Canis lupus familiaris: one gene and its partner. The protein of the gene in region 1 binds, or shares a complex with, the protein of each later gene. Links are inferred from orthologs where the notes say so. Each region holds a gene or a part of one and is shown on either strand. Other genes may lie near its edges. The genes, in order: MYO3B and ESPN.

Region 1 (15,975 bases):
ATCTTTAAAACTATAATATTTTGCTTTTGATGAATATAAGGATGGTTATAAAATACCGTAAAGAGATTGATCCTAGTTCTAAAAGAAGGTATATAATGGCCCTGTTCTATAATAGAAAGGTACTGCAAGTAATAAACAGATGCTGTTTTAAGATAACAAAATCAGGGGATGCCTGCGTGACTCAGTGGTTGAGCTTCTGCCTTCAGCTCAGGGTGTAATCCCGGTCTGGAGATCAAGTCCTGCATAGGGCTTCCTGTGAGGAGCCTGCTTCTCCCTCTGCCTATGTCTCTGCCTCTCTCTGTGTGTCTCTCATGAAAAAATAAATAAAATATTTTTTAAAAATAAATTAAAAACAAAACAAATTAAATATGCTAAGTATGTGTCATTGAAATAAGCCATGCCATCTCTAACCCTTGTGGAAAAAAAGTAGGGTAGAAATGGATGACTGCATGAATAAATATGAACAGAAAGAAATGTAATAGGTAGTAAACATAATTAATTTGTGCCTGATCTGGACTGTCAAATGAATAACCAAATGAACCAGATGGTATATGCATCTATGTTCACCATGTCCCGTAAACAGTTCAAATTGGAAATAAACCAACTTATGTCAGCACCTTTGGAAATGGAAGGAAGAGACTAGCTTTTATTCCTCTGACCCTAAATTCTTTGGTTATATCTTTGTATCTCAATAGCCTATTTTTGCTGAATTCATTCAATTCATTTTATAAATTCAGGGTAGTTTGACTAAATTCAGAAAGATTTAGTTGAATGTAGTTGGGGCAGATGCCAAATAACTGATGTATCAGAACTATTAAGTTTATCTGAGGGACATTTCTAGACAGGGCATAAATGAACTGGTCAATTTAATGAAAATTATGGTCACCTTCCTTTCTTATAATGTCATTAGTTTCCTGCAGGAACCTTCATATAGTAATCTTTAGATTGACCCAAACTCTTATAGCAAAATTTTATGAGTAGGGAACCTTAGTGTGGAGTCAGGAGCATGAATTTTAATTCTGGGACACCTGCCAAAAGTATCTGAAAGAACACTTGACCCTGACTTTATTCTAAAGAAACCTCCCTGGTAGAAGGAGACTTCCACTAACAATGATGATTCCTTGCAGAGGATTGGGCAGGGATGGGGGTGGGGTGATGTTGTACCTAAAACCCTTTTATGAAGATCCATGCCTTTGGAGTCCTATTTTTTGAGTCAAACCATACCATTTTTGTTTAATATTATGCTTGTCTTACTGGGATAAGAATTACCATAACATATTTATATTTAATACTATGTGAAAACATTTTTGGCAGATTATCTGCATGATGGTCAACATTGGATATTTACTGCATATCCCTTGATGAAGAGGTTAGGGAGAAGGCTTTGAGATTAGGGCAAAATTTTTTCCATTTCTTCAAGTTAGATTATGAATTTGGGAGAATATTGCTGAAGAGAGACTGAAGGGTTATATGTTAAAATGTAAGTTAGGGATTTCCAATACCTTAATGACAGTAGGACTTACATTGACTTCTTTTTACACTATATTGATGCATGATTGATATACCTCCCCTCTCAGGTATTTTTCAACCAATCATTGGCTTTCAGGATACAAATATTGTGAGCCTCTGGAAAGGAACTGAAGAAAGGTGTTGGAATAGAGCCCATAAGGGAGAAGGCTCGTTATTGGGCCTTATGTGGTGCTTGGAGCACAACTGGTTAAAAACAAAAACCAAAACTTAGAGGCTTATAAAAAGTAAACAAGGTAAAGATATACTGAGAGGGCAAGTCAATTCCTAGGAAGGTGCCCGGAAAACCACTACCATGAGATGCTTATGAACCAGGCTAGGAGCAACTTCCTTAAATTAGCTCCAGGCTAACAGAAAACCAAGGACCTTTTCAATTTTCTGCTTATCCTCAACTTTATTGAGAGAATACCTGCATCAGTGAAAGGAGTGTTTTCTGAGAAAAAAAAAGAAGCAAAGACCATATACATCCTGTATGGGATGGAGAAAGCCTCTTTCTTCCCCACTTCTGCTGATGGTGAAAATGAATTGGGAAGCCAGCTGGAGGAGTCGTTAATTTTCTTGATAGTATTTCCTGTCCTGAATGAGCTTATTTTGTTTTTTCATAGAGAAAGTTGGAAACATAATAAATAAAAAGAAAGAGCATCATAGTAGGATTTGGTAGTAAAATCAGGGATGCCAGAAAAGACTGCATAGCTGGAAATCAGGCAAGAGGAAATGAGCAAAATGAGGAAGGTGAAAATCCTCAGACTAGCTATAGGGAGAAAAGAAGAGACTTGATCAAGAAGTTCTGGGGAGGGAGGTGTAACCCCACAGGTGAACACACTACTGATTGTCCTCTACCATGATTGTATGGGTGATGTGTTGACTTGAACAAAAAAGGTAGATGTAGGTTCCTAGCCCAGAAAGGAAAAGCTAATTAATACAAGGATAGGACTAAAAGAGGTGGAATGGCCTAGAAATGTCACATAAAGAGTACCCTACGTCTAATTCCTCCATAATGAGGTCAACATTGGACACCTTTCTCAAGTTCCCTTTCTGAACCAAGGAAGGGTATCCCAGCCTATCATGAACTTCAGTCATTTATGGTGTTTGAACCCCAAAGTTTTCCCTGAAGGTCATGGGTAGTTTTCTTTTTTAAAAGAGGAAATGTCTGAGCATTGTGCTGAAGAGAATATTGCCAGAGAAACAACCAGGGGAGAACTGCCATTTCCTTTGGGGATAATCTCCCTAGTGGTGAAATGCCTGGAAGCTCTATTTTGGGAAGTTTCATGGCTTATACTGATATAATAGGGTGTAAATGTGTGTTTTAATTAGAGGAAATACATTTCTTTTCTAAGAATATTGAGAGTTTAGGTAACTTTTTGAGAGAACTGGGGATAGAAAGAACAGATACAGAGCTCACTGCTGTAGTTTCTGTTTACCCTCTGGGAAGTTGCTTGTTTGTTGCATTTTTGAGCCTCACATTTTATTGATTAAGGTAATGAAGTGCTGTCATGTTAAATCCACACCAGCCCCAGAAAACCCATTTGGTAGATGTTCTCCTTAGCCAGTCTTAAGTTGTATGATTAAAACAGTAATTTTTGACATCAAAAACATGACCTCTTGCCTTTGATTTAGAAGTTTGAAGAACAGTATTTATAGTAGAAGCCTGGTTTAAAATCCTCATTTGTCTTTGTAGCATTATCAGGTATCCAGCAGATGTCACTATTACAGTCTGTTCAGTTGTCAGCTTTACTGAATAATGTTCACAGGAAGGCTCACTTTGGGAACAATGCTTCACCAATGGTCTAATGACAGTTCCTACTAGTTTGCTGCTATGGATAGTACTAAATCAAGTTTCTCACCTGAGTATTTTTTTGTGGAAGTAGCTTTCTCTATCTATAGGCATAAGATGCAGAAGTTTCCTGGCTATGTATTTGTCTCACCTATAGGAAATGCATAGGTTTAAATAAATATACTTTATTTTTTTTTTTTAGTGTTAATGCTACTTATCTATTTAACTTTCAATATAAAAAAGGACTTAGGTTATCTATTTTTACTCACAGTACTTCTGACATCAAATGCATGGAGTTTTTTTTCTCCTCACACCAACCAATTCTCCTATAATTCAGTTTACTTCTGATACTGTTTACCTAGAATTAACATCAGATCACACAGGTTAGGGGCTCAGTTCCACAAGACTGCCCCCACTTCAGACACAAATTGCAAATCCTAGGGTTCACCTACTAACCAAGCAGTTACAAAGTGGGAGATCTTGGGTCCCAAGACCCCAAATTTGATCATTGGATAAAAAGACTCAAAACTTGGGAAAACAGTTTACTTACTGGTTTATTATAAAGGATACAACCCAGGAACAACCAAATGGAAGAGATGCATAGGGCAAGGTAATGGGGAAGGGTGGGGGGGTACCACCTCTCACAACCCAGAGGTATTCTGAACTTCATCAATTAGAGGTTTTATTTATTTATTTTTAAATATTTATTTATTTATTCATGGGAGACAGAGAGGCAGAGAAATAGGCAAAGGGAGAAGCAGGCTCTTCATGGAAGCCTATTGAAGAACTCAATCCCAGATCCCAGGATCATGACCTGAGCCAAAGGCAACCGCCCAGCCGCTGTGCCACCTAGGCATCCCAATTAGAGATATTAATGGAGGCTCTGTTACATAAGCATAAATGATTAAATTATTGTCAGTTGGTGATTAACTCAATTTCCAGAAGGCTCCCCTCCCTGGAAGGATTCAGCTAAAAATTCCAACCCTTTAATCACATGTGTGGTCTCTCTAGCAACCGGCCATATTCTTTTTTTTTTTTTTTTTTAAAGATTTTATTTATTTATTCATGAGAGAGAGAGAAAGAGAGAGAGAGGCAGAGGGAGAAGCAGGCTCCCTACAAGAAACCCAATGTGGGACTCGATCCCAGATCCCGGGACCACTCCCTGGGCCAAAGGCAGACGCTCAACCGCTGAGCCACCCAGGCATCCCCCGGCCATATTCTTTAAGAGTTACCTCAGTGGCACAGACTCAGTTATGGTTGAAGGTATTAAGAATAACAGAGGATACTCCTTTAACACCTGTCACTTATAATTCCAGGGGTTGTTTAGCTCTTGTGCTGGAAATTGGTATGAAGACCAAATATGTGTTATTATATCACAATATCACAGATAATTTCTAGTGAGTCTGAATATTTCCTGACCTCATTCATAATTACATATTCCTTTATTGAACTTCAAAATGTTCAGTGAACCATCAGTGAATGCCTTGATAACTATTTCATAAAAGCTATATTCAAAAGTGGTTAAGGAAACCTCTGCTTTCTTATTTTGAAAAAAAGAACATACCTGAATTTAGAAGCTGGTTTTAGTTAGAATAAATGGATAAGTGGCTTAAAGAACAAAGATCAATTGTTCTTATGGAAGCATTTCAGAGTAAGAGGTTCATGTTGCAGTACAACTTTGTTCCATGTAGCATTGGTCTTAGGAATCCTAGTCCTGCATAGCTGAGACTGGGTTGTTGGGAGGTTCAGCTGGCAATAATGGGGGAAAAAGCATGGAGGAGGCATGCTTGCTTCTATAAGGCTGGACTCCGAAGTCACTCATATCATTCTACTTGCTTCTTTGTTGAGAATTTAGTTCCAGTGCCTAACTGCAGGGGAGGTTTGGAAATTTGTTTGTGTGCCCAGGATAGGAGGATGTTGGATTTTGGTGGATAACTACCAGTGCTATTGGTTTGTTGGTTTGATTGGCAATGACCAAAATGGTTCTTGCTGTCCTTTTCAGGAGGTGCACTCAGTGTATAGAATTTTGGCTGGAATTTTGAATATTGGAAACATTGAGTTTGCAGCTATTTCCTCTCAGCATCAAACTGACAAAAGTGAGGTCCCCAATGCTGAAGCTTTGGAAAATGGTAATTGTTTGATGTCTGTGCATTGTGTAATCAAAATGCATGTGTCTTTGACTTTGGTAGTTTCTAAAGATGCTGTAAAATATAGTGCAGCTGTGGCTGGTCCCTCTGCCGGCTCTGGGTGTTTTTACTAACTATGATTTCCCAAAGGATGTCTTGTAGAACATCAGTGTTCTTTTCATGAACTGCAAATAAGTGCTCTGCAGAAAAGAATTCCATGACAGATAGCTTTGGGCCATGGTGTCAACACTGGCTACTTTTGAAAATCATCTATAATTTTTCGAAAAAAAAAAAATACAAGAGGTGGATCCCTGTCTGAATCCACTAAATCAGCATCTGCAAGGGATAGTCAGGCACCTGTTTATTTCTAAAGTTTTATAGCTAATAATGGTGACACAGGAATGAGAATCCTGAGTTCAAAAAAAAAAAGTGATTTAAATAAACACCCGTTGTGTTAAAATGCAGCATCTTTTACTGTTTTTAATAAACTCGTGTGCTTCCTGGCTCTTGAATATAATCCCCAGCTATTTGACCAAAGACTATCTTCTCTCACTTTTTCTCATCAAATGCCTGTGAAGAGCTTTCAGAGTGTTTGGGGGATACTGTGTCTGTCTGGATACTTCTTGGGGTTAGGGACCTGGCTTGTTTACCTTTGCATCTGAAGTGCCTGAATAGAACTTGGCACATCGTAGATGTTGAGTCAATGCTGGCTGAATGAATGAAAGGATGAATGGGTGACTGTATTCTCTGTATCATCCTTACTCTTTATTGCAGCTGCCTCTGTTCTCTGCATCAGCCCCGAAGAACTCCAAGAGGCCCTTATCTCACACTGTGTGGTCACCCGCGGTGAAACCATCATCCGTGCCAATACTGTCGACAGGGCTGCGGATGTCCGAGATGCCATGTCCAAAGCCCTGTATGGGAGGCTCTTCAGTTGGATTGTAAATCGCATCAATACACTCCTGCAGCCAGACAAAAACATATGGCAAGTTCCCTTGGGAAGCAGAGGCCTTGGGAGAGCTGTCAGCGATCATGGTGTCTCTTAGAGTTTGCAAGAGGAAGTGTTTGGTCCTCTCCTGAGTTTCCTTTGGTGAAGCTCTGAGGTCTTTTCCTTTAAAAGGAGAATGGGATCTAGGAGAATGGAAGAATCACATGACTGAGCCATAATATGTAGTGTTTAAGAGAACAGGCTTGTCCAGGAGCTGGGCATACTGGGTTTGCATTTAAGCTCTACAGTTTGACCAGACCCATATTCCAAGTCATAGTTTTCTCATCTGTAAAATGAGAGTAATTAATATTCCTCCTCATAGTGTTTTTAGAATGAGACATCTCATGAAAAGTTTTAAAGCACCATATCTTATAGTATTATTGCTGCTGCTGCTACTGACTTTTCTTTCCTAAGCATTAGTGGTCTCTATATTGTGGGAAAATGAACAACAACAAATTCTAAATCGTATTCTTCCAATTAAGCCTAATGGGTGGGAAGGTAGAAGAATGAATGGGCAGCAGTTCTAGTCTTTTCGAACAGAGTACCTCCTCTCTAATATCTCTCTCTATGGAACTTCTGAGGGAGATTTTAAAGGGTTCTACTGCTTAAAAACAAAAAAAAAAAGTTGGAACTACTGTTGAAAGATTGAAGGAATGAATGACTTAAAACACAAACTATTTCTTCTCTTAGAGGCAGCTGAATGCTGCTTTCCATAAGTGGGTACATATATTGGTAAACATGTGGACACACATATTTTCATCATCCTGAGATAAATGTTTCTTCCACTAAAAGATTTTTTTCTTTACTCCCATGCAGTAGTGCAGATGATGGTATGAATGTGGGGATTTTGGATATTTTTGGATTTGAGAACTTTGGGAGAAATTCATTTGAACAGCTCTGCATAAACATCGCCAATGAGCAAATCCAGTACTATTTCAACCAGCATGTTTTCGCTCTTGAGCAGGTAATAGTGAACTCTGAAGTGATTAAATCTGATGGGGAAGGTGTCTGCAAGCTGCTCACAATTTGAAGCAGAAACCCTCTTAGGCTAACAGATTCTAAGGAAAATCCACCAAAGAAGCAGTCCTGTCAAAATAAATAGCCTAAAGTTAGCCTGAAAAAAGTCCTGATTTCTGTGGAAAGTTACATTTCCTCACTTGAGTGGAGCTGATGACAAGCTAGTTATTTAAATATTGCTTCCAAACTATTTCACGCACACTGTCCAAATTATTACATTCTCTTCTACTTTATTTAACAAAAAACATCCATGATTGTGTCCAAAATGACACAGGATGATCTTTAATCAGGGCACAGGTTCTCGTTCTTAACTCCCAAATAGGGCATCTCCACCCCCCCCCCCCCACCCTCATCTCCTGCACACCAGTTCCCACAGTAACTTGGAAGGGGGTATGTCTCCAGGGCAGGAGTAAACTATGTTCTTGGTTTTCTCCAAATGGAAGTCATTCTGCAATGAGTTTAATGGTAAGTAAAACAAGATGTGAAGCTGATGGGCCCAAAGGCTAGGGGACCTTCCCCTTCCACCCCAATTTCTGTCCCAAACCCAAGACTATCCTGTATGAAGTAGTGCAGCAATAAAACATTCTGACTGAGCCTTTGCTTTAGTGAAGACACACACGCTGTACTGTGATTACATAAACACAAAAACAGGAAGAAAATCTGTATTGTTTTTTTTCAGTGGAATTGGATAAATCTGTATCACCCTCCTCTCCCCTCCCACTCTGCACAAAATTTGACCTCCTTTCACTCAGGGCTCCTTGCATTTATTTCCCTGGGAAGTCTGGAGTTTTCTAGTTTTGCAGTCTGATTCCCTTGCAGAATCCTAGAATGTAGAAGTCTGCTTTTTTTTCCTGGTTTAAGCCATGTTTTATTTATCACTAAAATAACTTTTTCAGCTTCCTTTCTATTCGATGTCAGTTTCTAAATTATGACTTCCCAAGTTGGTTTTTGGAAGACAGCACTGGCCCTTCTTTTGCTGGCTTCAGCTGCCTGCCGCAGGTTGCCTATGGGTCAGACTTAAACCCAAAGTTTTAGCAGTGTTGTATCAGGAGAATCTTTGACTACACACATAAAACTGCCTGTATTCCACAGTCAGTGTTGTAAGGCTATAGAAGGCACGTGCCAAAGCAGCCTGGTGCTATGTAGACCAGTTTTGGGCTTAAAGAGATTCACAATCCATTTTCCTCCAGATGGAATATCAGAATGAGGGCATTGATGCTACACTTGTGATGTATGAGGACAATCGCCCACTCTTGGACATGTTCCTCCAGAAACCTCTGGGACTGCTTGCGCTTTTGGATGAGGAAAGTCGATTTCCCCAAGCAACTGATCAGACCCTGGTTGGTAAGTGTCTCTTGGGAAAGGCATAGTACACTCAGGAGAGAACTTGGTTCGTTGGTATTGTAAATCGGTATTTTGGCCACTTGGTAGTTTATGCAAGTGTAGACCCTGTTTTTAATGAATTGAAATTGTCAGCAAATGTCCTGATAGATCTTTGTCTTAAAGAAAACTCATCACCAAACCCTCCTCACTTTCCTATTGCTGCCTATTTCCTATCATTTTTATACCTTCAGCTCCCTTATTTCCTATAACCAATGCTTGCTTCCCCTCCTTTTTCATACCCTTCTCTCATATCTCTGCTTGGATCCCATCCATTTCTAGTCTAAATTTGTATAGAAGACCCTTCTGGTTTCCTGGCTTCTAGCTTCTTGCTTATCCCCTCTACCCTAGACGTCCCAGCTAATTTAGTCTTTCTAAAGCCACCTTTTCATTAGGTTACTATTGTCTATAAGATGCCGATAAGACACTTCCTCCTGACACTAATGGCCCCCCAATCCTCTATCCTTGTTCCTCTTGACCTTCTTCTCTAATCTTCAGTGTTGCATACAATCCCATCCCTTACTTAGATTGTGAGATATTTAGGGCAACAAAACCCCAATAATCTTTGTATCCCTTTAGTGCTTAGCACAGGGTGGAACAGAAAGTTTCAAGCCTTTTCCCCTGATAGGAACTTGATTGGTGGGAAAGATTCACTTCTAGGAGTTAAAATTGTCACCCTCAGTGGTTTCCTTTTACCTACAAAGTAATCAGAAGTTGCCGTGATAGGTTTATACCAGGGTTGTTTGCCTTCCATGGGATCTTCATGGTTCTTAAGCTAATTGGCTAGAGTTCTGGTGTCATCAGTGTCCATGCTGGGAGTTCTTAGAACAGAACAAGAGATCTTAGGGTATAGCCTGATACTAAAGACAACACAAAACAAGTAAATGAAGACTTGATTGTAAGCCCATTTCAATGGAGCATTTTTCTCCTCTGTTGTACGTATGATGATAGTATCAGGCTGCCCTGAAAACCCTTACTCTGGGTTACTCCTGGCTCAAGGAGCACCTCTTTGTTTGAAGAAGCAAACAGTTCTCATTGTAACTTTTACACATGAAAATCCACGCAGATAAATTTGAAGATAATCTACGATGCAAATACTTCTGGAGGCCCAAAGGGGTGGAGCTATGCTTTGGCATTCTGCACTATGCTGGAAAGGTAAGGCAAGTGTGATTTACTAGGCCTGAATTTGACAAGGGGTAAGTGTTCATACTACCCTGTCTGTGCTGCTCACAAAATTGCTTGAAGATTTCTTTCTCTTTTTAATTCTTCTGAACACCTAATCATAATTCCCAAACTTTCTCAGTGGTTCTGCTCACAGAAAGTCGCCCCTGGTAAAAAAGCAGTTTCTTGCTGGGGTGGCTATGGAGCTTCCATCTGCTTCTCACCTGAGGTTTGTCCTAGAAGTGACAGCTCTCCAGAGAGAAGATACAGTGTAGCGTTTGCAGTGGTTAGTGGACAATGTGTATATTCTGAAGTCCCTTGGAAATGTGCAGGTTAACAGAGGAGGGTTAATATCATAGTGGGGCTCAGTTTTTAGCACTTTAACTATATGTGGCTACAGGGCACCAAAACTGTCTAGATAAAAAGGGAAAAAATTCTCTTTGATGTTAAACTTGTATAACACTAACTGAAATTTCCATCTTTCTTAATTTATGCCTCAGTTTCATTTCAAGTTCCTGAAGCAGAGGAGTGACTAATTTAGGAAATTCTCTGGTTCTGCAGCCAATAGCTCTTTGCTCAGAGTTACTCTCAAAGGAGTCGTTGGAATCATAGCTCATTGGTTCTGGTGGGGTCTGCTGAGGACCTGGGTCCCACAAACAGGGTAGGAGTCCAACAAAAGGCATTTGGGATTTTGTTCATTTAAGATTTGTTGAAGTTGTTTTTTTATATTCATATCATGGTGTTGAAATTAATTTTACCTGACTGGAGGTTGGTTGAAAGGCAGTTCTAATATAAGCAAAGAAGATTGTGTTTCTCCCCACATAGCGTATAGTATCTGTTTTGAATCTTTGTTGAAATTGCAACTCAATTTTTAACTATTTCAGACCACCTCAGCACTGATGTCTGACCATATGTTAATGTCCCCCATGTCTGGGATACCCGCATCTATCCTGATCTCCACCTCCCATTCCTGTCCTCTTCCTTGCACCTCCCTGTCTCTCTGTCTTTTTATACCGATTTCCTGTTCACCCATATTCCCTTTCTCCCTTTTCTCCTTCCTTGATTTTAAGGGGAAAAACAAGATCGTTTTCTTTGTGGGCTCAGTGCCCTTTCCTGAATTCATTATTTCTCTGGAATGTTCCTTAAAATTCCTCTGACCTGGATCCCTTCTGTTGTGAGAACTGAAAATGACTCTGCATCCCTAAGTGATCACTCACATGTTGTGAATGCCTTCGGGAGCAGCAAGAGTACAGTTGATGATGAGCACGGAGCCCAGACTGCCTGGGTTTGGAAACCTGCCTGCTACTTGTGAAATATGTGACCATGAGCATATCATTTCAGCTTCTTGTTAAGCCTCTGTTTGCCCACCAGTAAAATGGAGATAGTAATAGTATTTACCTCATAAGGTGGGTGCTTTCCGCATAGTGGCCAATATATAGTGCTCAGTCTATTTTCATAGTTATTCTCACGTGATGTATCTTTGATATGCCTCTATTCCTCAAAAAGCACCTGACCAAGAAGTTAAGATAAATTGGCCTGTCAAAAATTACAGTTTTTTCCTCCTTATCTCATGGTCTGGATTTAAAAGCGTGGCTGTGTCAAGATAATTTCTCTACATTGGTCGATTAATGACTAACCTCAGACAGCTTTTCCAGTGTCACCAGCAATGGATGATACTGGCTAGTTTGCTATTTGCTATTCATGTTGCAGGTATTATACGATGCTTCTGGGGTTCTTGAGAAAAACAAAGACACTCTCCCTGCTGATGTGGTTGTAGTCCTGAGAACGTCAGAAAACAAGCTTCTGCAGCAACTCTTCTCAATTCCCTTGACCAAAACAGGTACTTGGAACCCCCTGACCTCCCTGGATCTGATGCTTCTACAAGCACTGCTGGAGTTTTCTTGTTAGTATCTGAGTACTTTCAGGGCTACACTACTACCATTTTTAACTTTAAGCAGGGGTGAAGGTCTATTCAACTAAATTCAAGAAAAGGAAAGTGATATTTTCTTTTGCAATTTAATTGTACAACATTAGTGTATATATAACACAGAGATACTTTTATAGCATTAACTCAGACTTCTCATTTTCTCTGCTTGCCTCTTTTCATTCTTCCAGTTATAAAACCGTATATTATCATTAATTCATGCTAAGCCCTCTACAGTGGTCTCAGTTTACCTAGAATTTTTGGGAAGATTATTTCTGTTCACATTCGATTCTAAGTGAAAGGAATGTGGTAAATCCAATGGTCGTCCAGTCATGGGGTCCTCAGAAATCACCTGGTCCAATTCACTACCCAGTCAGTGACCCCACCCCACCCCCCACTCTCTTGACCAACTTAGAATAGGTCCATCATCACTGGCCTACCTGCTTGGCCTTTGCCCACTCACAGTCATCTTCTGCTTAATGGCTTTTGTTAAGCTGCTCAGTCAGTTCTCAGGATTAGAAGCAGGAAATCAGGGCCAAAGAACCGAACTTCCCTGTCTTTGCTGTTTTGCCAAATAGATTCCCATTCTTTTTTTTTTTTAATTTTTTAAAAAATTTATTTATGATAGTCACACAGAGAGAGAGAGAGGCAGAGACACAGGCAGAGGGAGAAGCAGGCTCCATGCACCAGGAGCCCGATGTGGGATTTGATCCCGGGTCTCCAGGATCGCGCCCTAGGCCAAAGGCAGGCACCAAACTGCTACGCCACCCAGGGATCCCCTAGATTCCCATTCTGTCAAGTTCCTTTGATTTACCTGAGATCTGCTGCCTTTGGTTGGGCAGCTCACTAGGTCTTCTCAGAGCTTTCCTCTCAAGGGCATTCTGTTTTGAGGGTTTGTCTGGAAACAGCTGCGGGTACACTTTTGTGAAAGAAGGAGGAGAAGTCTCTTTATTATTGTTCATAATTTCCTTTTCTTTCGTCCCATATCCCTCTTGAAATCATTGGAAACCATGTCCAGTTTGGGGCCTTTGTATCCTAAAAGGGAGTGGCTGCCAGGTCTGATTTTTAGCAACATGCAAAGGAATGAAAAGGTTGGCTAAGAAAGAAGCCACAGTCTGCAACCTTTGCTTCATCTTAATTTGGAAAGAAAGATGAAACCAGTTCTTAACTTTCTTCAAACATGCTCCTTTAAACAAAAATAGTAGGGTGCCCATGAGAAAGCTTCCTCTACCTTTCTTTCCAGACCTCCCTTGGGCAGAGCCAGGATTTGATTCATTATCTCCTTATGAAGATATTTACCCTCAAACTGGTTCTAATGAGATTGTGCATCTTACGATGAAGGTCAGAATATTAAGCTTCTAAATTTAAAAATATCTGTATTCTATATTTTTTGGTTTTAATGTAGGAGAATTTTATTGGACAGAAGTAGTTTGTTTTGTTTTTGCAGAAATTACAAATATTTGTTTCAGAGTGGCCAGATGTGAGGAGTTCCTCACCAGACACAGGTCTTATCAGGCATCTTATGTACAGGGCAAAGATACAGCCATTATTAATACCCCTAAAATGTACTCTTTGAAGTAGAATATATCCAGATGACCTGTCAGCTGGCACTTAAACTGTCTCATAAATATGAGTAACAATTTGTCAAAAATGTTCAAAACCTTGGAATCTCCAGTTTTTCAGCTGTTGGCAAAATAAAAACAATTTCTCAGCTTGGGCCACTAGGTGGCGCGAGGCAAGAAATCAAGCTCTGCAGCAAGCCTTGTGTTTGCCCTTGCCCGCCTAAAAGGGGAAGGAACAGAAACAAAGAGCTAACCTCTGCCTTTTTTTTTTTTTTTTTTTTTTGCTTTGCTTTTTACTTTTCGCTTTTCCCTGAAGGAGTGTTCCTGCTTTCTGAATCGTGTAACCTTTTCTGAATCTTGTCTTCAAACGGAATTCCACACCTCCTGGCGGAAACAAAGTGACAAAGAAGATTGGAAACAAACATGTTTTCCTTCCTTGTATTCCTGAGTCACATTTTGTGTATAATAATTTTTTTTGAAATTCATTTGAAATAATTTATTTTGAAATCCTAAGCTTTATTTTCTGCACATTTTGAGTATAGCTAAGAAGCCAAAGAAACACATCAAAACTAATAAGCATGATTCTGTTTTCTTTTTCTGAAAGTGTTCATATAAAAATGCCTTCAATCAACATGTATAGAACAGCTTCTAATAATAAGACACCAAGACAACAAGGAGGAGATAAAGATAAAATGGCTTTGCCCTAAAGCACCTGGAACTTGCCTTTAGCTTTACTAGAATCTATGTCCTTATGTTGATACTTGCCCTCAAAACATCAGTTCTAAAGAGATTGTGCATCCAATGTTAAAGGTCAGAATATTAATTAAGATGCTAAATTTTAAAGCATCTATATTCTGTATTTTTTGGTTTTGGTATATTACAGCCTTCGAAGTTGGGAGAACCTTACTGGACAGAAATAGTTGATGCTGTTTTTACTGAAATTGCAAATACATGTTTCAGCACGTGTCCCTTATGAAAGCAGACATGTGGGGTGGCACCTGGGTGGCTCAGTGGTTGAGAGTCTGCTTTCGGCTCAGGTCGTGATCCCCGGGTCCTGGGATCAAGGTCCTGGGATCGAGTTCCGCATCAGGCTCCCCATGGGGAGCATGCTTCTCTCTCTGCCTGTGTCTGCTTCTCTCTGTATGTCTCTTAAATAAATAAAATCTTTAAAAAAAATGAAAGCAGACATGTGTATATCTCAGCATTCTGACTGGAAGTGAGGTCCCACACATCCTGGCATTTTGAAAACAAATGTGCCAATATTTTCAATGCATGAGAAACCATTTTCTTGTGTTTTTTAAATTTTTTATCCTGCTTCAGACCCTTAAACACTTGTCTTATTAAAATTAAATGGATCACGAGTTCAATGAACATAGATATAGGTATTTTACAAACTTCTTCAGGAGATGAATTACAAAGAGGAGGGGAAAAAAATCAAAGTTTGGAAACTTTGGAGGCTGATAGCCCCAGACTTTAAAAAGAGGTCCAGGGATCCCTGGGTGGCGCAGCAGTTTGGCGCCTGCCTTTGGCCCAGGGCATGATCCTGGAGACCCGGGATCGAATCCCACATCGGGCTCCTGGTGCATGGGGCCTGCTTCTCCCTCTGCCTATGTCTCTGCCTCTCTCTCTCTCTCTCTCTCTCTCTCTCCCCGTGTGTGACTATCATAAATAAATTTAAAAAATTTAAAAAAAATAAAATAAAATAAAAAGAGGTCCATTGTTGGACTCCTCAGTTTTGAGATAACATAACTCTCTAGGATGTTGGCAGTGCTCTGACTTCTGGTCCCCATGGTAGTTACATGTATGTTGGTTTATATCTGTTATGTTGAACATTTGTTTCCCACACTTTTCTGTACATGCATTCTGTTTCACCGATAGCACTGTTATTTTCAAAAAGAGAGGATGTCTTAAAATGCAAAGAGAAACTTTCTTTTTCCTAGATTTCCTGTTCCATAAAGTTGAGGTTTCCTGGTAAACTACTGCAGCCCTTTGCTTTCCCAGACAGGTATCAGAGAACTGCCATTCCTGTCTGGTTAAGTTAGCCTCCTCTCTGGGCTGCTGGGCAGGTAGCAGTCTCTCTATTAGTGTTTATAAAACAGAAGTATTGGTTCTTGGTCTAATCTATTTTTTAATTTTTTAAAAAAAATATTTATTTATTCATGACAGACACAGAGAGAGAGAGGCAGAGACACAGACAGAAGGAGAAGCAGGCTCCATGCAGGGAGCCTGATGTGGGACTCCATCCCTGGACTTCAGGATCACACCCTAAGCTGAAGGCAGGTGCTAAACCACTGGGCCACCCAGAGATCCCCCTTGGTCTAATCTCTTAAAGAGGTTGAAAGGATTAACCTCTGTGTCTTTGTGTGAAACCATAATATAAAATCAGTGCAAGGAATCAGGTTGACATTCTCCTAGTTCCGGTACCCACTTTCCTGTTCATGTTGTACATCCCAAACTACTGAAAAGGTTAAAAAAAAAAAAAAAACGGGACGTGAAGTCAGGAGGTGTAGAGTCAT
Region 2 (15,975 bases), on another chromosome or scaffold:
TCCAGCAGGTACTCTGCCCGGTGCTTTATAGTAGAACCTCAGTCGCCATCAGAAATTAATACTAACAGTTGACATATATGGCGTTTACCGACCACCCTACTCCCTGGGATTTCACTAACTTTTAAAATCTTTCTTATATCCTCATGAGGCAAGAAATACTGTTATCCTCATTTACAGGTAAAGAAACTAAGGGGCACCTGGGTGGCTCAGTCTGTTAAGCATCTGACTCTTGATTTCAGCTCAGGTCATGATCTTCGGGTCGTGAGATGGAGCTCCACTCTGCACTGGGCATGGAGCCTGCTTAAGATTCTCCCTCTCCCTCTGGCCTTTTATACCCTGCCCCCCCCCCCCACTCCCCACTGCAGGCTCTCTCTCTTTAAGTACAGAAAGGATAAGTGATTTGCCCAAGGTCGCTTAGCTAGTAAGTGGGAGAGGTGACATTTGAAGCCAGCATTCCAGGCTGGAGAGGCTGTGCCCCTAACCTCTGTTATCCATGGGGTTGGGGCTGGGCACCCCCAGTGCCCATGCTGTCAGCCACAAAAAGAGCATTTTCCCACCTCCACCCAGGCCAGCCCCTATGCTTTCCCTTGGCTCACGGAATGGTCAGCTGGCCCTGGCCCCCCTGAACTAGGTGGGGTAGGGGGGGCCTTGGTCCCCTCACCCAGACAGGCCCAGCTGCAGCAGTGACAGACCTAAACCATGCAGGTTGCTGCCCCAGAAAAGGCAAACACTCCCACAGAGCCCCTAATTACAGGGCCAATGAGCATGACTGCTGAGCTGTTACCTGGTGCTAGGCTTGCCTCCCACTCCCGAGGGGCCTGTGACACTTCTCAGGCAAGGAGAGGGCCGCGGGCAGGGAGAAGCAGGCTTGGGCAGGAGGCAGCCACCAGAGCCAGCGAGCAGGCTTGCCAGCAGCAAGGCCAGCATGGGCAACGTAAGCAGGACCCCTACCCCAGCCCACCCCCATGCCAGGAGGGTCAGGCCTGTGGGCAGGGGCACAGACAGTGGTGGGGGGACAGCAGGCTTACGGCCTGACCTAGGACTGCCCACCAGACTCAGCTGGGCCACCCTAAGCCCCTCCCTTTCTCCAAGGGCCCCATCAGGAGAGTGGGGCTGGGCTGGGGTTGGAATCTGCCCCAGTAGGGCATGGAGGCACAAGGGCTACTGGCCAGGTAGTGGAGAATTAGTCTTTCATGTAAGCTATGGGGTCCCTGCATCCTCCCCTACCCCCAGTGGCTGTGGCACCTGAGCCCCTCACCACAGATACAGTGGAGCTCAGTCTCTCTGATGAGGAAGGAGAAGGCTGGTGCCATGGCAGTCTTCCCCTTGGGGTCCAGATGGCCCCCCCCTTCTGACAGTCTCTCCACCCCACCTGAGCAAGGTGTGGCCAGGGTAGGAGTTTCCCAGGAACCTGTGGTCCTGCTGCCAGGGGGCTGGGCTTGAATCTTGGCCTGGGAAGAACCTGAGAGACATTCTCAGAATGGGGAGAAAGCCCAGAAAAAGAAGCGGCTCAGCCTAGGTCACACAGCAAAGACATGCCTGAGCAGGACCCTGGCCTGGAGAGCACCGGTCTTCAGGTCAGGCTGTCCTCGTCGCCTCCCCTCCTGCTCAGAGTGTGGAGCACCGTGTTCTGTCCCGGGATCCATCTGCGGAGCTGGAGACCAAGCAGCCTGACTCTGGCATGTCTTCACCCAATACCACCATGTCGGTCCAGCCACTGAACTTTGACCTCAGCTCACCCACCAGCACCCTCTCCAACTATGACTCCTGCTCCTCCAGCCACTCCAGCATCAAGGGTCAGCGCCCCCCACGCGGTGAGTGGGCCAGGTTGGGAAGAGGGAAGGGGGAGCATAGACTGGGACTGGCCATGGGTCCCTGAGGGCCAGCATCAGGCACACTCTTCCCACGGCTGGCGCTGGAGGCTGCCCAGGTCACCAGGAGGGGCTGCTGGTTCTGGTGAGAGGCAGATGACACTTGTGCTGTGTGTGCTCATCACAACACAAGCCTATGTGCATATAGAGACAAAATCCACATGCACCCTGAAAATGAGTAATCATCCTCACACACACAGTGTAACCCAGACTTTTACACACACCTATTCACACTCAAAAGTGCACACTTGTACATGTGTAGGCACAGTGTACAGATAGGAATTCACAACCACACATACAGCATGGTTGCAGATGCACGCACACACATGCACTACAGCAAAGCCTTCCATTTTCATACTCCAGATGTTTGTGCACATGTAAACACACGCAGAAATGCACCCCGTGTCCACAGACCAATGCAAACACATTTGTAAATACAAAGAACCCATGCATGTGCTCACAAACATGTGAATGTACAAACACTTGGCAGAAGCCAGGCATGTGTGTATACACACGCTGACCACACCCTGAGCTTGAGTGTCCATCTACCTGTGATACCTGCTTCAAGCCGCCAGGCAGGGGCCTGCAGAGATGGTGGGGTGCCCTGCGGTTTTGGGGGGTGGCCGTCCATGCTCCTGCCACGCCACCCTGCTAGGTGTGACCAGAGGAGCTCTCTCCATACCCTGGAGTGGAAAGCCCCCTGGGGGGGTCCCCCTCCAAACTTGAGTGCATGTCCTTTCCCCAATGCACCCAGAGCTAGGGGAGGGCAGGGCAGGGGAGGGTGGGGTGAAGTGGGGTGAGGTGGGCCCTGCACTGCTGAAGCCCACAGTGGAGCCATACCTGGCCGCATCCCAAACCCACCTTACCCTTTGGCTGGTTGCTTCCGGGTAGAAAGGGGTCTCAGTCCCGGGGGACAGCCTCTCTGCAAACTCCCAAATCCCTCCCTCCCCAGGGCTTTCCAGCTCAAGAGCTGCAGATATACAAAGCTACATGGACATGCTGAGCCCGGAACTGGGCCGTCCCCGGGGCAAGACGGAGAGAACCACACCACTGCCACCACCACCCAGTTTCCCTCCACCGCCCCCACCCCTGAGCACCCAACTGCCCCCTCCCCCACCAGGCTACCCAGCTCCCCAGCCCCCCATGGGGCCACATGCAGCTGATATCTACATACAGACCAAGAACAAACTCCGCCACGTGGAGACGGAGGCCCTCAAGAAGGAGGTAGCGAACATTAACCCCCTGCCCGCCTCCCAGCACCAAGACTGGGTTGATAGGCAGCCCTTGAGGCCAAGAATCTGCCTGGTTCATGGGCACAGGGTGGGGGTCTCTGGGCCAGTGTGGCTTATTCAAGAGTCAAAGCTCCTGGCCAGCCCCATGGGGACCCAGGGCTCGACACGGGGGACAGGGAGATGAGGAAGACAAAGCCACTACCCTCTCGGGAGCTAGGGTGAGTGAAGGAACATATTACCAGGCAGTTTTGCCTCTCAGGGAGCTGAGTCCTCCCTCACCTCTTGCACAGAGTGGCAGGGTGGTCTTGGAATTGGCAAAGCATATGTGCAAACTGCCTTTCCACAGACCTGCACATGCCCATAGCCCCAGGCTCAGGTGGAGAATGGCTCCCAAGGGGGTGTCTTCCAGGTAGGAGATGCAGGTGGCACAGCTGTGAAGGGCCAGGAGGAGGGTAGAGGCAGGGAGAGAGAGCACTAACAGGACTCAGCACTCAGGGCGGGGCTGAGGGAGGGGTGAGGCTGAAGCTGGCTCCCGAATTTGGGGCTTTGAGTGGCCAGGTTGGTGGAAGGGGTGGTCCTGAGATAGGAGCCATGGGGGAGAAGCCAGCTTATGGGAAGGTGTCTGTGTCCAGTGTGGGCACAGAGGATGCAATGCCAGGATGTCAGGGCCTCTGGGCTCCTGGCTGAAGCTCTGGAGCCAGAGAGCTGTTCTGAGTAGCCGAGAGTCCTAGGCAGGGAGCCTAGGTCTTGGCCAGCAGGGCAGAATAAGGCTGGGCTGGGCTGGGAGGGACAACCCGAGACCACAGGTGGCTGAGTATGGGGTAGAGGCCACCGAGGGTCCTGTGGGAGCCCTAACCTTTGGTTATCTCTCCAGCCCAAAGCAAGCCACTCCAGAGTGGAGCTGAGTAACCAGTTTGCCCACAGGTGACCCAGGTCTCCAGGTCACCAGGTTGGGGAGGGGAATGACAACCACCACAGGGGCTCCACCTTGTCCTTGTGCCATCTTGGAGCAAGCTGTCAGTCGGGTTCCCCTTTCATCTCTCTGAGGTGGAGAGGACCAGAGGGGGCCACAGGTCACCAACTTTCCCTCAGGGCGGCTGTGTGAGCCCTGCCCAAAGCCACAGGACAGGTGGCCCAGACAGTTGCCTCCACTCCCCTGAGCACCAGGATGTCGAGGTCCCGTGCCCCTACCCCGTGCGTGCGTGCAGGGCCGCAGGCATTGGGCAGCTTCACAAAGGGCCCTTTGTGTGTGCCCACTGTGCCCGCGGCCCCTGCCTCTGCCCCCCTCCTCGTCCCCCCCCCCCCCCCCCCCCCCCCGCAGTTGCCTGACCGCCTCGGGAGCAGGGTCGTGGCATCCGCGCCTCGGGGCTGCAGGGGGCGCCGAGGGGGCGGACTGTCCCAGAAAACAAATCCTGTGGTGTCGGGTTTCCTGCAACGAGAGCCCATTCGGGTGGGGCCTGGAGGTTCGGGGCCACTGCAGGGACGCAGGGGCGGGGGGTGGAACAGGGGGCAGCCCCCCGCACGGTGGCTCGGCCTTTGGCCCTGCAAGCCCCATGTCCTGTTCCCTGGGCTGGGCTTAGCGGGGGCGGGGGGGGGGGGCAGCTGCGACGGGGCGGGCCACCGCGCTGTCATCCGAGCCCGCCTGGCCGCCCCTGAAACCTGAGGCTTAGGCGCGGGTGTCGGTGTCACTTACGCGGATGTCGATGGTTTCCAGATGCGGGAGGGGAAGGGAGGGGAAGGGCGGGGGCATGACCCGGAACCCGGGGGTACCAAATACGGGGGGCTCCACTGCTTGTGGTCGGGCCCGCTTTCTGTCCACCCGGTGTGGAGGGGCCAGTTTGAGGGAGGCAGAGGGGGCTGAAGGCCAGGATGCCCAGCGCCTAGCGGAGGGAGAGGGGCACTGGGGGCGTATCCACATCTGGTTCGCTGGACAGGTAAGGCGCAGCGGCAGGCTGTGGCATGATGCACTTGGAGCCCCCGTGGCGTCCCCTATGGGTGCGAGTGGGTCAACCCGGGATTGGCGGGCCTCGGGTGATGTCAGGCCGGCAGAGCTCATAGGCGCTCTTAGGCGCGGGCGGGCAAGGGCTGGGCTGTAACCTGAGAGGAAGGATCGAGTAGCGCAGGTGTTGGGTCCAGGCCGCCCCCGCCACCAGGTGCACAGCGGGGGCCACCGGCACTGGCGCAGGTAGGAGCAGCCCCGGGGACGGGTGGCGAGAGCCCTGGGCCAGCGGAAGCCTAACGGGACGAGGGCTCTGCGTGGGGCCGCCTGGGAGCCGGGGTCCCCGAAGGAGAGGGTTCGGCAGAGCCTGCGGGAGGAGCGGGACAGTCCGGTGGCCGGGAGCTGGGTGAGGCTGAGGCCTTAGCGCTGCCCAAACTGCGAGCTGCCCCTTCACCAGCTCCCCCTGGCGACTGGGCTGGACCAACCCGCCCCTGGTCCCGCCCCTTCTAGCCTCAGTGGGGGCCCCTGTGGCTCTTGGCCCGCGCCCAGAACCCCTCCCTGAAAGGCCGACCGAGCCCGCCCTTCCCCGGGACCCTCGCCCCATCCCCGCTCTGAGAACAAGAGGGTCCGGGAGCCCGGTTGGCTGCGCCCTTCGACGGCCGCTGGCCGCGAGCCCCAGGAATTGCGAGCCGGGGGGGCGGGGCGTGGGAGGCATCGGTAACCAGTGGCTGAAGCCCCCGCACCGCTGTCTTCCCGCAGCTGAGCTCCCGCGACGGCCACAACGGGCTGAGGAGGCAGGACTCGGGCCGCAAGCCCCGCGCCTTCAGCAAGCAGCCCAGCACGGGGGACTACTACCGGCAGCTGGGCCGCTGTCCCGGGGAGCCGCTGCCCGCGGGCCCCGGCATGGCGCACAGCGAGGAGGTGCGTGCCTGCCCGCCCGCGCCCGCCGGCCGCCGGGGACCCAGCCCGGCCTCCGGCTTCTCACTCGCCAGCTCCTCCGCTCCCCCGCAGGCGGCGCTGCTCCCCGGGAACCCCGTGCATAACGGCTGCGCCGCGGACCCCAAGGCGTCCAGGGAGCTGCCCCCGCCGCCCCCGCCGCCCCCGCCGCCCCTGCCGGAGGCCCTCTGCTCGCCACCGCCTGCTCCGCCCCTGCCCTTCGAGGGCGCCGGCCCTGGCTGCGGGCAGCGTCGCTCCTCCTCGTCCACTGGCAGTGAGTAGGGGCGGAGGGTGGGGGGCGGCGCTAGCCCTGGAGGGGTGGGAAACCTCGCCATCGCTCCCCTCCCAGCTGCGACTGCCCTAGTGCCTTCTCTTTTCCTACTTGCTCTTCCTGCTGCAGCCCCCAGCCCAGTGAGGGCTCGACCCGAAGGGAAGGTTCTGAGTCGCTTGAGTGTGACCTCTCAGTCCGGTCCCCTTCCGTCCCTAGGCCCATGTCCCATCCAGCAGAGAAGGCCTCCCAGCTCTGCTGGCTGGTGTTTCTAATGAGCTGGTGCTAATGGGGAGCTCTCAGAGGGAGAACTAGTTTCAAGGAGGCAGCTGCTGGCCAACCTTCTTCCTGCCCCATATCTGTCCTAAGTCTCTCTTCTGCTCCTCACCTCTTTCTCTTGTTCTTTCAAGCTAGCTACAGCCCGAGCTCTTAGATGCCTGAGGGACTCTTCCCAGCCAGATCCCCGTGCCCCCCCCCGGGGGGGTCCCAGGCCAGGCCAGCTAGAACCTGGCTATGGGGACTAGGCCAGTGACCCACCATGCCCTGCCCTTTCCCTCCTGATGACCCCTTCCCCGTCCCTGCCCTGCCCCACATCCTTTGTAAGGTCTAAAGTGGTGAGCAGGATTCCTGAGCTTCTCTTCTGTAACATGGGTCAGTATGTAGTATGCCAGGGCTCCTGCAAGGCCCAGGAGGTGGTGCCTAGGTGCTGATGCTCCCACCCAAGCCTGGGAGAGGGGGGCTGATACTCAGTGCTACATCTCCCTAAGCTTCATCTCCCTAACTAGGAGTGCAAGGCTATAATAGTCCGGGGTAGGACCAGCCTGGGCTCCTTCAGTTACCTAAGGAGCCTCAGCCTCTGCATACCAGAGCCCATGGTAGCACACTCATCACCAATTGAGCTTCCAGAACGGCCCCCACCTCTGGGGCTAGCTTTGTCCATCTGGTGCAAGACTGAAGTTAGGAACAGAAAAAAATAGACTGGGCTTCTCCAGACACCCCTTCTCAGCAGAGCCTGGGCTGGGTGCCCTCTCCCAGCCCAATGCCAAGACTGAGGCCCTTGCTAGGGGGGCCAGGGCCAGTGGCAGCCCTACCCAATCCTCAGGGACCAGTAAGCGCTGGAACTGGGCGGACCACCCTTGCAGAGCCCCAGAGCAGCCTGAGCCAGGGTCACATGAGCTGGAAAATTTGTCCTCTCCTCTCTCCCCTCCTCTGCGCATCTCCCCCTCCTCTTGCCCGCCCTCTTCTTGCTGTCCCCCGCTGTCCTAGCCTCACCCAAGCCCCCTACCTCTCCTAACTTCGCTGTCACTTCTCTCCTCTCGGTCCCTAGAAGTGAGAGTCCTGAGGCACAGGAAGAGTGAGTAGCTGCGTGCGTGGCTCCTGGCTGAGGTGCGGGGCGGGGACCAAGGCACGCTCGGGGAAGTCAAAGCCCAAAGACCCTTTATAAAGGGCAGGGCCAAGGGCCAGAAGGCCAGGGTCCTCCACACTACAGCTACCTGCCTCCCTCCACCACACCCGCATGCACACCCACAAATTCTGCCCATGGCTGTCGGTTTTGCCTAAAAAAATGGACCTGTTGCCAGTGCCTGCCTGGCACCTTTTCTTTTTACCCTTCCTGCTTATTGCTCTAGGATCCCCAGTGCCGGGGAACCTAAAAGCCATCGGCCTGTTTTGTTGCCCTCACCCAGCCCTCACCCCCTCCTCAGTCTCTAAAGACAGCCCTTCCCAGACCCCAGTCACCTCTGCCAGCCTTGTCAGAAAATGCAAACTCCAAGCACTGGATATTTGCATGTTTTTCACCTGGCCCTTCTTCCTGGGTGCCTTCACCCCATATCCTTAGTAAGGGCTCCGCTTTTCTAGGTCCCCCAGAGCTGAGCAGCGCTTTGCCATAAGTGTGCTACGGGCTTGCAACCAGTGTGTCTGCGCGTGTGTCTGTCTGTGTGTATGGGGGGCGGGGAGGAGACCGGCTGGGCTCTGGCATCCAGGGTTCTGAGTCCATATAGCCATGGAGGCCCCAGGTGACTCAGTCCAAGGGTCACTGAGCTTTGCTGATGCAGAGAGGGCTGGAGGGAGACTCCACCCCGGCAGGGCCGAGCCAGGGAACCCAGGACAAAGGTCAGGTGGCTGGCCCCCAGGTAGTGTCTTAGAGCTGGTCAGTCAGTGTACTGGGTGGAGACATTCTCTGGAGTACCCAGCGCAGGGCCAGGAGCCAGCATGTACTCCCAGAGGCCTCCAGGAGGGGCCCCCATGTCCCGTGAGTAGGGCTGGGAAGATGGTGGGGCCCCGTGAGCGGGGATGCCCCCTTGGCGCCCCTGAGAGCCGCCCAGGGAGCCTGGGATCTGGAGAGCTGCCATCTAGGGCCTGGGCACCTCCTGACTTGGGGAGGGGACAGCAGAGGGGCAGGTGCGGGTCGGCGGGCCACCAGCGGCCAGCACCTCCTCTCCTGCCTCTGTGCAGGCACCAAGTCTTTCAACATGATGTCCCCGACGGGTGACAACTCCGAGCTACTGGCTGAGATCAAGGCTGGCAAGAGTCTGAAGCCGACACCGCAGAGCAAAGGGCTGACGACAGTGTTCTCGGGCAGCGGGCAGCCCATCTCCCAGGTAGGCAGTGGGCCGGGCACTCCTGCCCCAGCTCCTCTCACCCCTGCTCACCAGGCACTCAGTGTCACCACTTCTCCCTGCAGCCAGACTTGCCGCTGCCCCAGGCATCGCCTGCGCCTTCACGGGCCCGCAGCCCCACCCCACCGGCTGCAGGGCCCCAGCCACTGCTCAATGGCAGCGTGGCGCCGGCACCGCCTGCCACCCCGGCGCCTGGTGTTCAGCTGGATGTGGAGGCGCTCATCCCCACACACGACGAGCAGGGCCGGCCCATCCCTGAGTGGAAGCGCCAGGTGATGGTGCGGAAACTGCAGCTGAAGATGCAGGAGGAGGAAGAACAGAGGCGGAAGGTGGGTGGGGTGGGGCTTCCCAGACGGCCCACAGGTCTGCGGTGGGGCCCTTGGCCCATCCCCCACCTTACCCCAGCCTGCTGGTCCCTTCCACTGCAGCCAGCTCCCGTAACCTTGGGGTGGGGGCAGATAGCAGGACTGGACGATCTGCCTGTCCACTGGGAATGTTCCCAGTCTCCACCCCAACCCCCACCTCCAGTAGCATGTCCTTTAGTAAGATGGCAAAGTTCATCCAACTCTAAGGCAGCTCAGGTTGCTTGAGATCTTGTAAAAATGCCTATTCTGATTCAGGAGCCCTGGGTGGGACCGAGATCCCATGCTTCTAGGAAGCTCCTGACTGTGCTGGTCCAGGGACCACACGCAGTAGGTGACAGGCTTTTGGTTGCGAACAGACTAGCCTGGGCCCTGCCCCTGCATGGCCACTTTCCAGCCACTGATACCGAGACTCAGCCAGCCTCAGTTTTCTTATCTGTCAGATGATTGCTCATTACTGGCTGGCAGGGCGTTTGCCATTGATCCACTCAACACATGTTTCTTGGGTGCTATGTATGTGACATACACTGTTGTAGCCTCTGGGGATTCATAATGAATGTGTCAGGGCCTTTTCAAGGTGGCCGCGTGGGGAGGGGGCGGCTTGGGGTCCGCCAACAAGCAAACACAGCACCTCAGTAGGGTGATAACTGCCCCCAAAGATACAGAACAAGATAATGTGAGAGCCTGAGTTTTGGAGGCCAGTACCTGGGCTGTCACAGGACAGGTGGCACTGTGATAGGGCATGCAGAGGTCTGGGGCAGCCTTAAACCCACCATCCTCTTTGGGCTGAGGGCAGTGTTAGGGAAGGAGGAAGTGATGTCCAAGGTAGACTTGGGAGATGAGCAAGAGGTGGCCTGGGAACCGAGTAGGGCAAAGAGCAAGGAGGCTCCTTGACCGTAGGAGAGGGGTGGAACTGGAGAGAGGTCAGTGGCATCAGATCATAAGGTCTGGCTTTGAAGAAAACAAATTTCTCCTGCAGCAGTTGGGAGCCTGGGAGAGGGTGTAAGTGGAGGAAGTGGCCTTATCCTATTTGCCTATGAGAAAGCATTGTAGATGCACTGACAGGCCGGTGAGGATGAGGACAGCCCCCCAACTCCCAGCTGGAGAAGCCCCACACTCAAGTGAGGAATGAATGAAACTCGGAAATTCCTGGCACAGCTAGCTCCATAAATTGATTATTATTCCTGGTACGGGACTGCCTGACAGCTCTTTTGGCGTTAGAGCACTGCTAGCGTGCGCAGGGGGAGTTGGGGCTGCAGGCGGCGCTTGAGAAGGGGTCATCCATGGCGGGGGCGGCGGGGGGGGGGGCGGTGGTGGCTTGCAGGTGATGCGGACCTGAGATAGGGTGGGGAAGGGGCAGCCTTGCATCGCAGCCTCAACGCCTTTTGCATGTTCCTTCGGTGGTGTAATGAGCAACCTGGCCAGGTGTGGAGACTCCGTCTGCCCGCCCTGTCTCTGCAACGGCGCCCAACGACCCCGCCAGCAACCAGAGGACACTGGCCAGCGCCCGGAGTAGCGGCCTGGGCTGAAGCCTCGCCCCAGTGTAACCACCTGCCGGCCAAGCTCGGCCCATCCCCGCCAACACAGTCCCGCGGAGCCATTACACCACCCGGGACATGCAAATGGCGCCCCCGGCGGCCGCTGCGGGAACCGGGCCAGAGGGAGACGCGCCTCCCTCCCCTCTCTTGTCTTCCCCGCCTTAGCTGACGGCCGCCAGCTCGTGCTGCTACCCCCGCGAGGGCTGGAGGTACTCCAGCGCGCACAACGCCATCCTCGGGCCCTTCGGCGAGCTCATGACCGAAGCCGACATCCTCCGCATCGAGCAGCAAATCGAGAACCTGCAGGTGTTGCACAAGGCGCAGAAGCTGGAGGCGCGCCTGGAGCAGCTGGAGCTGGAGTTGGAGCAGCTGCTGCCGATCTCGGCCGCCCTTTCGGCGCCGCGCTTCACCGTCGATCCGCGCCGCATGCACGGCCGCGCCGTCAGCCTGCCTGCCTGGTGCAGCAAGATCTCCACGCTGCTCAAGAGCATGGCCACGCTGCTGGCCGCACTGGGCGGCCGGCCCGCGCACCTGGCCGAGCTGCTGGCCGCCGACACGGGCCAGCCGCTGGCACCGCTGCCCGACGCGCCCTGGCGGCCGGGCCCGCTCTGCCTGGGCCGCTCGCACTCGCTCAGCTGGTGCCGCGAGGCCGTGGCGCGCGAGATCCTCGAGTGCGGCGTCTCGGTGCAGCACCTCCGCGCCGTCTACGAGCTGCGCGCCCAGGGCTCCGCGCCCGCGCGCGGCTCGCGCCACAAGCTCTCGCTTCCTGCCGGCGCCTCCGGCCGAGAACCCATCCTAGAGGAGGACTACGTGGCGGCCGGCGCGGGGGAAGCGAGCGCCCCCGCCGCCAACGGCTTGCCGGCCGCGGGGGACTCCCTTAGCGCCCCGGGCCCGCCCGACGCGCCCGGCCACCAGGCGGCGCCGCCTGAGCCGGAGCAGCTGGCGCGCCGGCCGCCGCTCTCCACCGAGCTGCGCGGCGTCCAGGACTACATAGATATGCGCAAGGAGCGCATCGTCTACCTCTTCCTGGAGCACTGGCGCAAGTGGACCTTCCGCGGCCCCGGGCGCCATGCCCAGGCGCGCCTACGCAGACTGCTGCCCCGCGTGGTGGCCGCCGGCGCGGGCTCCGTCCCCGAGGCCGCTGAGGCACCCGGGCCGCCGGCAGGCGACGGCGCCGACGGGCGGCTGCTGCGCCTGCTGAAGCAGCGGCAGGTGGTGGGCAAGCTGCTGGGCCACTGGCGGAGCCTGCTGCGGCAGGTGCCCGCGCGCCCCCCGTGCGGCTCGGGTCTGGCGCACGGCCTGTACTGGCCTGAGCACTTCCTGCCGCCCCTCGACGGCGGCGCGCCCCCACGCTACGACAGCCTCACGCTCGACCTCTTCATGCTTGGCTACTTCCAGCTGCTCGAGATGGGCCTGAGCCGAGAGGAGCGCAAGTTCCGCCACCTGCTGTGCTACGAGATGTTCGACCGGCTGGGCAGCCACCCGTGGGAGCTCATCCGCCGCTTCCACCGCGTCGTGCTCGAGGAGGTGGAGGCTGGCCGGCGCAGCTGGAGCGACGGCTTTGAGGACCTCAGGCGCCAGTTCTTTGGAGACAGCCCGGAGGCTGAGCCGGCGCGGGAAGAAGAGGCCGAGGAGGAGCGAGAGAAGGGGGAGGAGAAGGGGGAGGAGAACGAAGAGGAGGAGGAGAAGGAGCCCGCGGAAAAGGTCGCTTCGGCCCACACGGTGGACTGGCCCGAGGGGCAGCCCGAGGCCCCAGCTCCTGCGCCGCAGTCTCCGACCCCACCTCCGCCAGCCGCGCCTCCCCCCACGTGGGACCCGCCTAGTCCTGAAGCCCCTGTCGAAGATCCCCTGGAGCTGGTGTCTGAGATGGGCGAGTTCAGCAATGAGGACATCTGCCGCTATATTGACCGCAGCTTCTCCTTCTGGAAGGAGAAGGAGGCAGAGCTCTTTGACATCTGAGAATTCGGAATTTCCACTCAAGCATCTTAATCCCGGGCCAGATGCCTGTCTGATGCCCTCCGGAGGCCAGAAGCCGGCAGGAAGAACCCAGAAGCCGGCGGGGTGGCCTTGGAAAACCCAGAGTGCCCAGGAGGACCAGGCTGCCACAGCCTTTGAAACCCCACCATGGCCAAATGTGGGGCAGTGGCCAGAATGGGCAGGGCAGGGCACAGGGCAAGCCAGCTGTCCCCCCCCCCCCCCCCCCCCCCCCCCCCCCCCCCCCCCCGGTCCTACAGTCCTGCCTAGCTCTGTGTTGGAGCCAGGTTGAAGAAGCAGGCCCCCTGAGTGAGGGACCATGGGTCCCCCTTGGGGCAGTGTGGCTCTCCTCTCTTGGTTTTTCACTGGAATTCACAGCTACTTCTTTGAGGTCAAGGGAGCCACGTGTGTAGTGTTCTGTGTGACGTGTTCTCCTCTGTAAACATCCAAGTAATAAAACTCTTTGCTGTAAGCCGCCTGTGTTGGATGCCCGCTCCCCTGCTCCTGCCAAGTCAATGCAGCCACACAGTGGTAGAGGTAGTGTCTACTCCACTTGGGAACAGGACACACATGGCCCAGAAGATTCTTCCCAGTGGAGGCCACTTTGAGCCTGTGGGGGCCCAAGGATGTTTCTGCCCAGAGTCTGGGTTGGGGGCCTGGGGCCATCTGTCATCCTGCCCCAGTGGAGAAGCTCATTCTCTGGTCCTTTCCTACACCTTAGGTCTGACCTCTCTGGCGCCCCCTCTAGGACACAGGAGGCTGGAGTTACAAGGGGGCAGAGCCCTTTAAGGAGACCATGGCCAGGCAACTTTATCGATTTGCCCTGTGAAAGAACATCTGTATCCCATTGTCCCTGACTCTTGCAGGTCTCCCGGGGTTGGGGGTGCCCCTTCTGGCCCCCTACCTCCTAGCCCATGCTGGTCCTAAAGCTCAACAATTGTGTTTCAGGAGGAAGAGGAGGAAGCCCGGCTGGCCAGCATGCCTGCATGGAGGCGAGACCTCCTGCGGAAGAAGCTAGAAGAGGAGAGGTGAGTTGGGTAATCAGAAGCTTCAGGGCCTGGTAGGATGTCTTGATCTTGTGTCTGCTGTGGTGGCACCAAATAATGCTGTCTCTTTTTCCTTCTAGGGAGCAGAGGCGGTGAGTTGGGACTGGGCCAGACCTGTCACCCCTCCCCAAACCTCCTTAGTCTTTTGCCTCTTCATCCAGCCCCATCTTGAGCACATCTCCTTGTCACTCTAGTCTGTAACACAACCTCTCTGCTTCCAATGATGCCACCAGACCTCTCTCCCCCAATAAGCCCCTGTCCCAAAGTCTATATCTTATGCCCTAACAACCTTTGGTTAACCCAACCTCAGTGTCAATAACCTTGCGCTGTCCCTCAAAACATAGTTCCTGCCCCCAGGAATCTAGCCCAGTGCAGACAGAAATATAATGCGAGCCACTATGTAATTTTAAATTCTCTTGTAGCCACTTTGAAAAAGTAAAAAGATATAGGTGAACATGTGTATCTTATTTAACTCAATATATCGAAGTATCACTTCAATAGATAATGTAAAATTTATGAAATATATAGATATATATATATATGTACACACACACACATATAAACATAGTCTTTGAAATGCCAGGTGCTATTTACACCTACAATGCTTCTCATTCTGACATTTCAGATGCTTAGTGGCCACATGTATTTAGTGGCTGCCTTGTCAGCAGCACAGATCTAGCCCCTACTTCTTTAAGACTTTATTTGTTCATGAGAGACACAGAGAGAGGCCGAGACATAGGCAGAGGGAGAAGCAGGCTCCCTTTGGGGAGCCCCATGTGGGACTGGATCCCAGGACCCCTGGGATCACACCCTGAGCCACCCAGGAGCACCAGCCCCTATTTTATAATAACTGTTCTGAATTACCCACCACTGCATCTCAGTACTGTGGTCCCTCTGTTCTCCAGCAGCCCAGCCCCAGCCCCCCATATCAGGTCCTGTCCCCAGACACCCCCTCCTCACCCTCTGCCACACCTCCTGACCCAGCACTACTATTTCCAGTAAAAGCCCCGCCTGCAATAACTCATCCACAGCCTCTCACTCACCCAGCTCCTCAACCAAGACCTTCTGTGCCCATCAGCCCTGCCCTTATGCTTCCTGACCAGACCCCAGTCCCCGGTCCCCCAGCCCTTCTGCCCCCCAGAACCCCTTGCCCTGGCCACCACGAGTTAGTCCCTCTGTCCTCGGCAACCCAGCTCCTGCCCCCACCCGTGACCCCCCCAGGGTGCCTGGCCCACCCCCCTCACAGTTGCGGGGGGGTTTCTGCCCCTACATTATGCCTAGGAAAGAGGAGGAGCGACAGAAGCAGGAGGAGCTGCAGAGGGAGAAAGAGCAGTCGGAGAAGTTGCGGACGCTGGGCTACGACGAGACCAAGCTGGCGCCCTGGCAGAGACAGATCATCCTGAAGAAGGGGGACATCGCTAAGTACTAGATGCAGCCCTCCTCTCGCAGCCCCGTGAGCTCGAGGGGCCCCAGCCTCGCCCTGGCCTCGGGGCGGAAGGGCTGGGAGCCGCGCTGCCTTCCCCTCCCGCGCTGGAACCTCTCCCTGACCCCGCTCCGGCCCCCGCACCCCCAGCCCGGGGCGACGCTGGAGCTCGCCCGCCGCCACCGCCGCTGGGGCCCAGAAAAAGTGCCCAAGCCAGCTGCTGACGCAAAAAGATGCTGCTGATTTGCATGTTGATTTACTTATATTTGCATGTTCGTTGAACGCCTCGCAGAGCTCTCCCGGCCCCGTGGGTGGCGACCTGGTCTCCCCGCGGGGCGTGCGCCGGGCCGCAGCCCCCTCCCCCGCACCCCGGAACCCGCGTGGCTGGCGCATCCTGGGCGGAGGCAGGCCCCGCGCTCGGGGAAGGGGTTTTCCTCCCGTCCTGACCCAGATCTGCGCCCGGCCCGCCCGGGCCACATTTCCCATCCCCGCCGAGGGCTTCCTCTCAGTCATTTGTTTACCAGAAGCGATGAAAACAGCAACCTGCCCGGCGGGACGGGGCTGCCGCTCCGGGGCCCATCCTCTGCCCCCCCACCCCGGCCCCTTCCGCAGCGCCCGCGGGGAGGCGGGGGCGGGGGGCCCTGCACCGCGTCTCCACCTGCTTCCCCCCTCCTGGTCCCCGCCATCCCGCACCCCCATTAAAGCTCTCTCAGCCACCGGGGCTGACGTCCGCTCTCTCGCGCCGTCGCCGCGACTTCCTCTCGCTAT

Evidence for each region.
Region 2: the proteins of MYO3B (region 1) and ESPN are in contact, whole or in part, in a crystal structure (PDB 5ET1), measured with the Mus musculus proteins. The link is inferred for Canis lupus familiaris from reciprocal best matches to the Homo sapiens genes MYO3B and ESPN. Residues at the interface, in XP_017174528.1 of Mus musculus: Arg1223, Arg1224, Gln1226, Gln1227, Pro1228, Lys1229, Met1230, Leu1231, Ser1232, Ser1233, Asp1236, Thr1237, Met1238, Tyr1239, Tyr1240, Asn1241, Gln1242, Leu1243; in NP_997570.1 of Mus musculus: Leu35, Ala37, His41, Arg45, Ala67, Asn69, Ala71, His75, Asp76, Ala79, Thr80, Asp101, Ser103, Leu110, Arg113, Phe114, Thr135, Thr137, Ala139, His143, Tyr144, Ala147, Thr169, Asn171, Tyr177, Leu178, Gln181, Ala203, Asp205, Met207.

What each region holds. Positions count from the first base shown.
Region 1 is NC_049257.1:15,294,714-15,310,688, forward strand, and holds part of MYO3B (myosin-IIIb), read left to right. Parts: intron 1-5,303; coding exon 5,304-5,430; intron 5,431-6,201; coding exon 6,202-6,412; intron 6,413-7,231; coding exon 7,232-7,379; intron 7,380-8,622; coding exon 8,623-8,776; intron 8,777-9,878; coding exon 9,879-9,967; intron 9,968-11,683; coding exon 11,684-11,813; intron 11,814-15,975.
Region 2 is NC_049226.1:60,783,673-60,799,647, forward strand, and holds the end of ESPN (espin), read left to right. Parts: intron 1-1,612; coding exon 1,613-1,814; intron 1,815-2,823; coding exon 2,824-3,095; intron 3,096-5,801; coding exon 5,802-6,252; intron 6,253-7,573; coding exon of another isoform or gene 7,574-7,600; intron 7,601-8,700; coding exon 8,701-8,846; intron 8,847-8,929; coding exon 8,930-9,193; intron 9,194-13,686; coding exon 13,687-13,766; intron 13,767-13,864; coding exon 13,865-13,876; intron 13,877-15,065; coding exon 15,066-15,213; 3' UTR 15,214-15,923; downstream 15,924-15,975. UniProt on the Homo sapiens protein: Multifunctional actin-bundling protein. Plays a major role in regulating the organization, dimension, dynamics and signaling capacities of the actin filament-rich microvilli in the mechanosensory and chemosensory cells.